3 linked regions of the Stegostoma tigrinum genome follow. The protein of the gene in region 3 interacts with the protein of the main gene of each other region in a biochemical or structural test. Links are inferred from orthologs where the notes say so. Each region holds a gene or a part of one and is shown on either strand. Other genes may lie near its edges.

Region 1 (3,748 bases), on a different chromosome or scaffold from region 3:
ATGATGCCACCCGAAGGCTGCAGGAACAGCAACTCATATTCCGCCTGGGAACCCTGCAGCCTAATGGTATCAATGTGGACTTCACCAGTTTCAAAATCTCCCCTTCCCCTACTGCATCCCTAAACCAGCCTAGTTCGTCCCCTCCCCCCACTGCACCACATAACCAGCCCAGCTCTTCGCCCCCACCCACTGCATCCCAAAACCAGTCCAACCTGTCTCTGTCTCCCTAACCGGTTCTTCCTCTCACCCATCCCTTCCTCCCAGCCCAAGCTGCACCCCCATCTACCTACTAACCTCATCCCACCTCCTTGACCTGTCCGTCTTCCCTGGACTGACCTATCCCCTCCCTACCTCCCCACCTATACTCTCTCCACCTATCTTCTTTACTCTCCATCTTTGGTCCGCCTCCCCCTCTCTCCCTATTTATTCCAGTTCCCTCTCCCCATCCCCCTCTCTGATGAAGGGTCTAGGCCCGAAACGTCAGCTTTTGTGCTCCTGAGATGCTGCTTGGCCTGCTGTGTTCATCCAGCCTCACATTTTGTTAGCTTGTATCGATGGCTAAATACCATCTGGGTGAGAACAACTACTTCAGAAAAGTCAAGGCATCAAATCAGCACATTCTGGTGTGTTTGGCTGGCTAATCTCCAGGTCTTTGCTGAATCTCGTCATGCATATGGTTATCACTACTAAGTAGTCTTGCTAACAATAATGAACAACCAGATCTGTGCTGCCAGTGAGCAAAAGGACCACACTACTCTTAAATGCATCACACCATTGAGTCAGACAGATTACAGAGAATCTGTTGTTACCTTCCCATTGAATACTGATTTGTTTTTGGTTAATCAGTGGTTTAAAACCACTGCCTAAAAGAATGTTCATCTAAACCACTGCAAAATTCACACAAGTAGAGAGGTTTGCTTCCGTTCTGAGGGTCACCGGACCCGAAACGCTCACTCTGTGTTCTCCTCCACAGATGCTGCCAGACTTGCTGAGCCTTTTCCAGCAACTTTGTTTTTGTTCAAGAGAGGTTTGCTTTACTTGACCTGGAATGCCCATTTCGTTGGTTCAGTGACTCACTTCGCTCACCTCAGTTCAGAAATGCCAGCACAGTTGTCAAGAGCCAAGGTTTCGAGGCTAATGCTGTAATTCGATCAGATCAGCCCTACACATAAAGGTATGCTTTACTGCTTAAATGCTTTTGCGCGCAGTGAAACCGATAAATTAATCCCCGAGTGCTCCGCATTACTGTGATCCTGATAATTGTTTGAGTGCTCCGTGTGAGATGCGCTGGGAATGTCAGTTACCCCCCCACCACGCCCCCACGCACGGCTGCTAATACTTCTCGGAACTAACATAGTATTTAAAGATTAATTAAAACCATTAATCCCAAACACATCAAGTACAATGATTTTTCTTCTGGGGGATTATCCTGTATAAATAGGGAAATAAAGTTAATCTGGGGATCCTTTTGACCTGCCTCAAATCTCCACGGTATAAAAGTTTTTTTTTAACACTTTCCTTATTCCCCACATAATACACACAGGAAGATGAATCATTCTGGATCATGGTGTGCACATGATCTCATTCCACCGCAACCGATTCTTCAGTTGGAACAGTTGATGCAAAATAAGATAATATCTGCAGGACATTTAAAATTTAGAGAGTAAGAAAAGAACAAAAGAAGGGAATCTCACTTGTATCCGTGTATCTAAAAATCAAACAAACACACGCTGGCAAGTATTCAGTTATAAATTACAAATTGATCGATACTAAGCAAGAAGGCGCAAAATGGATATTGAATAAAAGCCGGACATACCTGACTGTGCACCAAAGTAAATTCAGGATCAACTTGCAACTGTCCTTCTCAGAGCCCAGGCAAGTGCTTCACGAAATCATTCCACTGCAGGCGTCACATTCCCCTCCTCTTCAACACATTTCACTCAATAAATCCTGCTCTTTCAAAAAGCGTTAAATGCTGCAGCCTGCCCGCTCTGCTCTGGTCCGAGGTGACCACTCGCTCTGATTTTGATGAATTCTCAGCGCTCCAGTCCTGGCGAGCAGCTCGGAGCCGGCCCTTGCTGCACAGGTGACCCAGGCCCCCTATCCGCTCGCTAGCGCGGATGACAAAACAAAATCGAAAGGTCCTTTGTGAAAGCAAAGTGGGAATGTCAGACGGACAGTTTCAGGGTGAGTAACCTGTTTCTAACTCCTGACGCAGCCGCTGATAAACTCTGGGCGGTTTCAACTCCGCCCCCACGAGTTTGACTTATAACAAGGTGTACGGCTCTGCACCACGTCCTCCCCAGATCACACACACACTTCTCACAGATCACACACCGACTCTTATTGTGCTGAGCATCCGTATGTCGGGTGAACCAAACTGTATCACCAGATCAGAGGTCTGCCGCCAGATTTCATCGGATCAGAACCACCATGTACAGGATTACCTCACAATATCTTCCTGTATACGATTAGATATGATGTATCCAGCCTAATGTTTCACAATTAGATTCAATGGCTTACATGATGGCTCGGTGGTTAGCACTGCCGTCTCAGTGCCTGTCAGTGTCGGTTTCATTCCAGCCATGGTTGACTGTAGCATGTTCATCATGTGCAGTTTAGGTGGATTGTCCAAGGTAAATTTGAGGTTACACGGGTGGGTAGGTTTGGGTGGGAAGCTGCTGGAGGGAGGGTGCAGATTCAGTGGGCCGAATGGCCTCCATGTGTGCTGTCGGGCTTCTATGATTCTAACCTGACTCCTAAATCAGATTCCCAGAATACAATCTGATCATCAGGTCTGTGGTATATAGCCTGACCTTAATGAGGCTACATTCAGCTTGATACCTCTTGGAAAGAACATCATAGCACATGTTCTCCATTACTATTGCAGACATGATAGAACCTCTGTTAGCAATGCCTAGGTCCAGAACTGTGCTGCATAATGTATTAATCTAGCAGTTTACGAACATTCAATATACTTCAGATGACCTGGAGAAAACAGAAAGCCATTTTCAGGGAGTTAACATTGAGCGAGTATAAGAATCTTCTAAAGAGATCACCTGCACATGGTGAAACCATGTAGTTGGGTGGGATTTAGCAGATGTACCATTCTACAATTGTTACTCTGTGTGATAATAGATGGAAGTGCTGACCATGCAACTGGTTGCAGTTACTGGGTTAGAGATAATAGGGACTGCAGATGCTGGAGAATCCGAGATCACAAAGTGTGGAGCTGGATGAACACAGCAGGCCAAGCAGCATCTTAGGAGCACAAAAGCTGACGTTTCGGGCCTAGATGAATGGTCTAGGCCTGAAACGTCAGCTGATAATGGGAACTGCAGATGCTGGAGAATCCGAGATAATAAAGTGTGAAGCTGGATGAACACAGCAGGCCAAGCAGCATCTCAGGAGCACAAAAGCTGACGTTTCGGGCCTAGACCCTTCATCAGAGAGCTCGCTGATGAAGGGCTAGACCTGAAACATCAGCTTTTGTGCTCCTGAGATGTTGCTTGGCCTGCTGTGTTCATCCAGCTTCACACTTTGTTATCCTGAAACGTCAGCTGTTGTGCTCCTAAGAAGCAGTTACTGGGTTAGCACTCTTGCAGAATGGCAAGCTGCCTGATGCAGCAAATGACATTTAGGGATGAGATGATGGCAAAACAATTGAGGCAGAACTGATTTTCATAACCATCTGCAAAGCCCAATATACCTCCTTTTGTGTAATGTCATAGGAGTTTCCCTGTTGCAC
Region 2 (3,748 bases), on a different chromosome or scaffold from region 3:
ACACACACACACACACACGTGTATGCACACACATTCACAGTCTCTCTCTCTCACATACACACATTCACAGTGTCACACACACACACTCACATATACATCCACGTGCACACAACCACGTTCACTCACAGGCTGACATTAATGCATAGACATTAAATAACATGCTTCTCACAAACATGCACACAGACAAAACATACACAAAATCACGCATGCAGGCAACACTCAAAGTCATTCAAACACACACAGGCTGACAAACACACACACTACACAACGCCTATGTGCATAGAACCTCTCAAATCTTGCTCCAGAATTTTGGCCCTGGTCACATCCTTGCACACCCACAATGGATACAACCTGATGCAATATTCACAGTCTCTGAAAACACAAGTCTACTTTGTTGGACAGTGAATTCAAGAACCTCGAGTGCCCTAAGCACAACCGTCTTTCATCCCTCCATCTTAAAGTGGAAGCGGGGCTGTCTGCTGATGATTGTGTAATGTTCAGTGTCACTTGCATCTCCTAGGATACTGAAACAGTTCATGTCCAAAGGCAACAAGATCTGGACAATATCCAGGCTTGCGGTGACAAGTGGCATGTAATGTTTGCACCACATAAATGTCAGACGACAGCCATGTCCAACAAGCAATAATCCAACCATTGCCTCTTAATGTTCAATAATATTTCAATCACTGAGTCACCCACTGTCAATATTCTGAGGGACACCATTGACAAGAAACTGAACTAGACCAGCCATGTAAATACTATGACTATGGGGATGAGACAGAAGTTGGGAATTTTGTAATGAGTAGCTCACCTCTCAACTTCCCAAAGCCTGTCCACTATCGACGAGGGACAGGTCAGGAGTGTATGGAATGCTCTCCATTTGCCGGAATGGGTGCTGCTCTAATAACATTCAAGAATCTTGACACCATCCAGGACAAAGCAACCTGCTTGATTGGCATCACACCCTGCATCTTCACTATCCACACCCTATACCACCAACATGTAGTCACAGCAAAGTGTACTATTTATAACATGCACTAGATGTACTGTAGCAATTTGCAAAAGCTCTTTCTCCAACACAGGGAAAAAATCTGCAACTTCTGCCAACTAGACAGACAAGGGCGGCAGGTACAGGGGAACACCAGCTCCTATAAATTCACCTCCAAGTCACTCACCATCCCGATCTGCAACGTAATCAATGTTCCTTCACTGTTGCTGGGTTAAAATCCTGGAACTGCCTCCATTAAGAGCATTGTGAGTGCCCCAACATGAGGTTAACTGTGGCAGTTCAACAAGGCAGCTCACCACCACTTTTTCAAGGGCACTCAAGGATATACAATAAACGTTGGCCTTGCCAGTGGATACCCACATCTCGTAAGGTGTGATGTAGAAATATTGGTCATATATGGAGGTTTTAAGCAACATCTGAAAGGGTAGAGAGGGAGATGGTGTGAGGGAGTGAACTTCAGAGCTTAAGGCTTTGAGTTTTCACAATACCATTGATGTTGGCTTGGTGTAAATTGAGAATGTATTAAAGGCCCGAGTTGGAAGAGCTCTTACATGTGTGAGCCGTTTGAGGAGATTACAACAAAAGGGAGGGGGCAAGGTGACACAGAGGAATTTGAAAATGCGGATGAGGCCTTTAAAACTGAAGTTTCATTGAATCAGGAGCCCCTGTGGGTGTCAGAAGGACTGGACTTGGTGCTGGTTATGATTCACAATTTTGGGTGAGCTGAAGTTTTTGGTGTTGGACTATATCAGGAAGGACGTGGCCTTGGCATATCATCACTACACTGTTAATCCAGAGACCAGGGAATACTCTGGGGACCTGAGTTTGAATCCCACCATCGCAGATGGCGAAATTTGAATTTAATTTAAAAGAAAGTGGAATGAAGTGACTAATGATGACCATCAATCCATTGCTGATTGTCAGAAAAAATCCATCTGGTTGACCAATGACCTTTAGGGAAGGAAACTGCCACCGTTACCTGGCCTGGACTACATATAACTCCACACCCACAGCAAAGGGATCGACTCTTAATGCACTTGTCCTGCTGTGCTCATCCAGCTCCACACTTTGTTATCCCGGATTCTCTAGCATCTGCAGTTCCCATTATCTCTGACCTCTGGACAATTCGAGATGGGCAATAAACGTTGGCCTAGCCAGCAATACAGTCATCCCATGAAGGAAAAAATGAAATGATATAAAACCTAACCCAGAACAACATGTCATTATGAGGTGAACACATTCCTGGAGCTGGCTGGGCAGACAAACAGGACGGTTGAGAGTAGAGTAACAGTTAAAAATAATGAACCACAGCCCACTGTGAACACGCACTAAAGCTTAACACACCGACTCGCTGTACAAGCATTGACACTCTGGCAACCAAGAACAAGACTGAACTTCAAACCAGAAAGTTCACTCAGTCTCACGCTCATTCACACTCACTCGCTGATCACCACTGTGAAATGGAGAGAAACTAATTGTGTTCTGACAAAGATGGCACTGAGCCTCAGACGCTCAACAGGGCCACTGGCACAGAGAGGTGACAGAAGCTACACAGGAGAAAGCAAGGCCAGAAAAATCCTTAGCAATAGGCAGGACACTGTGAAGGAAGGCAGCCTTTTGGAAGGAGAACTGTGCTGGGCAGACGCTGACATCTGGCCACAGCCAATGGAAGGGGTGAGATTGATGTGAGGCTGTTGGCGAGATGGATTAAGCGAACAAGTAGAGACACATACCCCTGTACGGCACTCGTAGTAAGCCAGCCTGGATTTGGTCAGAATGAAATATCGATCTTTGTAGTTGGAGGGTGAAGTCCTTCGTTTTTGCTGTGAGCGCTTGATGAGAAATTCCTCAAGGATGGAAGGGGGATTCATCCTTTCGGCGGGTAACACTCCCCATCGAGAGGAGGTGGTGGTGGGGAGGTGAAGCTGATCGGAAGGTTGTGTGCAGGTCACAGCATTAGGCACAGCGTAGGTGCACAGATGCTGATAACTGAGAAACTGTCAGGAAAAAGCACCACGCAGGCTTCAGACTCGGATGAAGGTAGAATGTGAAACCACTTCCTTTCTATCTGCCTTTGCAAATCCTGTGAGCAGAAACGAGAAAAACCCAAACCATATCGCGCCAACTTATATGCAGGCCAATTGCTGCCACCCGTTAACATAGAGAGAAATGCTTTGAACCGATCAGAGGAAAAATCATGCCGGCAACACATTCTTTAGAACTTCAGAAGTGATCAGGGATTCTGACAATGTGACCAAGGGCTGAATATTTCAACCGGGTGGAGAGGTGGGGGGGGGGGTCAATGAGTGATCAAAGGGAGAAACTTTCTCATCCTCAGCAAACAAAGGCAGAGATTCTTTTACACCGACATGAGTGCCACACACTGTCAGACAGTCAATATGGATGGAGTGCTGCATTGTCAGTACTGAGGGAGTGCCGCACTGCCAGAGGGTCAGTACTGAGGGAGTGCTGCACTGTCAGAGGGTCAGTACTGAGGGAGTGCCGCACTGTCAGAGGGTCAGTACTGAGGGAGTGCTGCACTGTCAGAGGGTCAGTACTGAGGGAGTGCTGCACTGTCAGAGGGTCAGTACTGATGGAATGATGGTGAGGCAAACTGAGGGGGTGATGGTGATAGCTGAACCATCCACTGGTATGGCAATATCTCTCATCACTCTTCCTGCCCTTTCCTCAGTCTCTTCTGTTCCACAGCATTAAACATCATCGGTGACTGGATGGAGG
Region 3 (3,748 bases):
CCCTTCTCCTTCTCTCTCTCTCCCTCCCTCCCCCGATCCCCCATCTCCTTCTCTCTCTCTCTCCCTCCCTCCCCCGATCCCCCCTCTCCTTCTCTCTCTCTCTCCCTCCCTCCCCCGATCCCCCCTCTCCTTCTCTCTCTCTCTCCCTCCCTCCCCCGATCCCCCCTCTCCTCCTCTCTCTGCCTCCCTCCCCCGATCCCCCCTCTCCTTCTCTCTCTCCCTCCCTCCCCCGATCCCCCCTCTCCTTCTCTCTCTCCCTCCCTCCCCCGATCCCCCCTCACCTTCTCTCTCTCTCTCCCTCCCTCCCCCGATCCCCCCTCTCCTTCTCTCTCTCCCTCCCTCCCCCGATCCCCCCTCTCCTTCTCTCTCTCTCTCCCTCCCTCCCCCGATCCCCCCTCTCCTTCTCTCTCTCCCTCCCTCCCCCGATCCCCCCTCTCCTTCTCTCTCTCTCTCCCTCCCTCCCCCGATCCCCCCTCTCCTCCTCTCTCTGCCTCCCTCCCCCGATCCCCCCTCTCCTTCTCTCTCTCCCTCCCCCGATCCCCCCTCTCCTCCTCTCTCTCCCTCCCTCCCCCGATCCCCCCTCTCCTCCTCTCTCTCCCTCCCTTGATCCCCCTCTCCTTCTCTCTCTCCCTCCCTCCCGCGATCCCCCCCTCTCCTTCTCTCTCTCCCTCCCCCGATCCCCCCTCTCCTTCTCTCTCTCAATCCCTCCCCCGATCCCCCTTCTCCCTCCCTCCCCCGATCCCCCTTCTCCTTCTCTCTCTCCCTCCCTCGATCCCCCCTCTCCTTCTCTCTCTCCCTCGATCCCCTCTCTCCTTCTCTCTCTCCCTCCCTCCCCCGATCCCCCCTCTCCTCCTCTCTCTCCCTCCCTCCCCCGATCCCCCCTCTCCTCCTCTCTCTCTCTCCCTCCCCCGATCCCCCCTCTCCTCCTCTCTCTCTCTCCCTCCCTCCCCCGATCCCCCCTCTCCTCCTCTCTCTCTCTCCCTCCCTCCCCCGATCCCCCCTCTCCTCCTCTCTCTCTCTCCCTCCCTCCCCCGATCCCCCCTCTCCTCCTCTCTCTCTCTCCCTCCCTCCCCCGATCCCCCCTCTCCTCCTCTCTCTCTCTCCCTCCCTCCCCCGATCCCCCCTCTCCTCCTCTCTCTCTCTCCCTCCCTCCCCCGATCCCCCCTCTCCTCCTCTCTCTCCCTCCCTCCCCCGATCCCCCCTCTCCTCCTCTCTCTCTCTCCCTCCCTCCCCCGATCCCCCCTCTCCTCCTCTCTCTCTCTCCCTCCCTCCCCCGATCCCCCCTCTCCTCCTCTCTCTCTCTCCCTCCCTCCCCCGATCCCCCCTCTCCTCCTCTCTCTCTCTCCCTCCCTCCCCCGATCCCCCCTCTCCTCCTCTCTCTCTCTCCCTCCCTCCCCCGATCCCCCCTCTCCTCCTCTCTCTCTCTCCCTCCCTCCCCCGATCCCCCCTCTCCTCCTCTCTCTCTCTCCCTCCCTCCCCCGATCCCCCCTCTCCTCCTCTCTCTCTCTCCCTCCCTCCCCCGATCCCCCCTCTCCTCCTCTCTCTCCCTCCCTCCCCCGATCCCCCCTCTCCTCCTCTCTCTCTCTCCCTCCCTCCCCCGATCCCCCCTCTCCTCCTCTCTCTCTCTCCCTCCCTCCCCCGATCCCCCCTCTCCTCCTCTCTCTCTCTCCCTCGATCCCCTCTCTCCTTCTCTCTCTCCCTCCCTCCCTCCCCCGATCCCCCCTCTCCTCCTCTCTCTCCCTCCCTCCCCCGATCCCCCCTCTCCTCCTCTCTCTCCCTCGATCCCCTCTCTCCTTCTCTCTCTCCCTCCCTCCCTCGATCCCCCTCTCCTTCTCTCTCTCCCTCCCTCCCTCCCTCGATCCCCCTCTCCTCCCTGCCCCGGTCACACTCTCTTTTCTACCTCCCCGTGTTGTCTTCTTTTACCCCGTCATGCATCTTTCTCTTTCAACCAGCTCTCTTCACCTTCGCCCCCCACTCCCCCCCCCCCCCAACGACTCGCTCTCTCACTCTCTCCCTCTCCTCTCTCCCTCTCCTCCCTCTCCCCCTCCCTCTCCTCCCTCTCCCCCTCCCTCTCCTCCCTCTCCCCCTCCCTCTCCTCTTCCATAGTCTCGCTCCGTGACGCTTCCTCCTCCGCTCCTGAATCCGGCTTTAGCCGCGATCTCATCGCGGCGGCCTCACCTTCAGTATATCTTCCCTCTTAAAGCTTAGCTCATCGTCTGCTGTGGCCTTGAAGTCGTACTTGGCGATAGCCTCCATGTCAGCGCGACGTTGGCCTTGCTCTGACTTTCAGTCTGGGGCTGGGCCTGTCCGTCGCCAGCGTGTGGCTGTCGCCTAGGCCCGGGACCACTGCGCGTGCGCACTGCGACAGGCCGCTCCCGCATACTGCGCCTGCGCACGCACTGGGCGTTCCGTGTCCGAGGCACGTACCGGAATAGCGTCAGCCAGGCTCAGCGTGATGCTCCTGGACCGGAAACGAGCGTTGACCTCGCCTTCGTCATCTTGTGCTTAGTGTCATTTGACCTTTGGTTTTCTGTCTTGAGTTGGAGCATAAACTTGAGTATCTCTGGGTGTTTTCAGTTCTCATTCTTCTCCTGACCTGCGCTTTCGAATGTCTAATTCCTGTGAAATGCACCTCGTGTTGGTAAACTTCAATGGTCCTCGCTCTTTGACCATTCCTTTGGAAGACATTGTGAGCTTGCTTATTGGCACCACATTGTTGGTGCTGGTGGAGGAGTACTGTTAAGTTACTGGTAGGCTCTGTATTGCTGTTATGATTCTCCATCTCCTGAAAAGGAAGAAAGGAAATTCGTGTCAGTAGTCTGAAAATTTCTCTGCTGTGCACCTCTGTCAAGATGGAGAGTGTATCAGTATTTCACAATCTGTTCTTCACCCTCTTCCACGCTTGTTCCTCATGATCCCATGCAGCATTGGTACACATCATTATTAATCATCGATGCCCTCATTGTTTTGTCAAGTAATTGAATTTTTAACTCTTCCACTCTGCCTTGTTCATCAACACCACTTTGCTGAGCATTCTCCTAAGTAAAAATCGGAGCGGCTCTTTTAAGATTCGTGGCCTCACTATCTACTGTGAGCTGAAGAAGAAAGCCCACATTTGGTACCCACTGGTACTGCTGACTGTGAGAGGTTGTTTCTTTTAAGCTCTCAACGGATCTTAATTTGAAAGAGGTACCTTAGATATTGAAGTAGTCCATATCAAAATGTAGCAAGATCTGGATAACACAAAATATTGGTTGATAAACATTCACACTATACAACTGCAAGGCAATAAGCAATTTAAAAGAGAGAATGTAACAATCATCCAATGAGAGTCATTGGCATCAACGTCACTAAATACCCCAATATCAACATCGTAGGGGTTCCATTGAGCAGAAGGTGAACTGGACTAGCTATATGTGGCTATAGGAACAGCTCAGAGGCTAGGAAACCTGTGGTGAATAACTTACACCCTAACTTCTTAAAGCCTATTGAGTATCTGGAAGGTAAGTCAGGAATGTAATAGAATACAGACACATGCTGTCCCTTTCTCTCTCTTTCCCTCACATACAAATCTATGGGGTGAATTTGCTTTGTAACTCTATTTTGTTCAAATAGCTCACACGTTTGTAGGTAGTCAATGTGGCCTTTTATAAATTCTTACTTTGGAAATAAAATCAGTCCAATTTGATACACAGCCAGATTCTAAATGAGGCCTCTCATGTAAAATGCATTGTCTACCCTTGGATGC

The links.
Region 1: the proteins of growth factor receptor-bound protein 2 (region 3) and met form a complex in vitro, tested with the Homo sapiens proteins (3 studies listed by BioGRID and IntAct, with this or other methods). The link is inferred for Stegostoma tigrinum from reciprocal best matches to the Homo sapiens genes GRB2 and MET.
Region 2: the proteins of growth factor receptor-bound protein 2 (region 3) and tyrosine-protein kinase ITK/TSK-like form a complex in vitro, tested with the Homo sapiens proteins (2 studies listed by BioGRID). The link is inferred for Stegostoma tigrinum from reciprocal best matches to the Homo sapiens genes GRB2 and ITK.

Annotation. Positions count from the first base shown.
Region 1 is NC_081371.1:34,235,921-34,239,668, reverse strand, and holds the start of met (hepatocyte growth factor receptor), read right to left. Parts: upstream 2,226-3,748; 5' UTR 1,817-2,225; intron 1-1,816. UniProt on the Homo sapiens protein: Receptor tyrosine kinase that transduces signals from the extracellular matrix into the cytoplasm by binding to hepatocyte growth factor/HGF ligand. Regulates many physiological processes including proliferation, scattering, morphogenesis and survival.
Region 2 is NC_081366.1:12,417,867-12,421,614, reverse strand, and holds the start of tyrosine-protein kinase ITK/TSK-like, read right to left. Parts: upstream 2,959-3,748; 5' UTR 2,881-2,958; coding exon 2,743-2,880; intron 1-2,742. UniProt on the Homo sapiens protein: Tyrosine kinase that plays an essential role in regulation of the adaptive immune response. Regulates the development, function and differentiation of conventional T-cells and nonconventional NKT-cells.
Region 3 is NC_081375.1:55,043,047-55,046,794, reverse strand, and holds the start of growth factor receptor-bound protein 2, read right to left. Parts: upstream 2,383-3,748; 5' UTR 2,257-2,382; coding exon 2,179-2,256; intron 1-2,178. UniProt on the Homo sapiens protein: Non-enzymatic adapter protein that plays a pivotal role in precisely regulated signaling cascades from cell surface receptors to cellular responses, including signaling transduction and gene expression.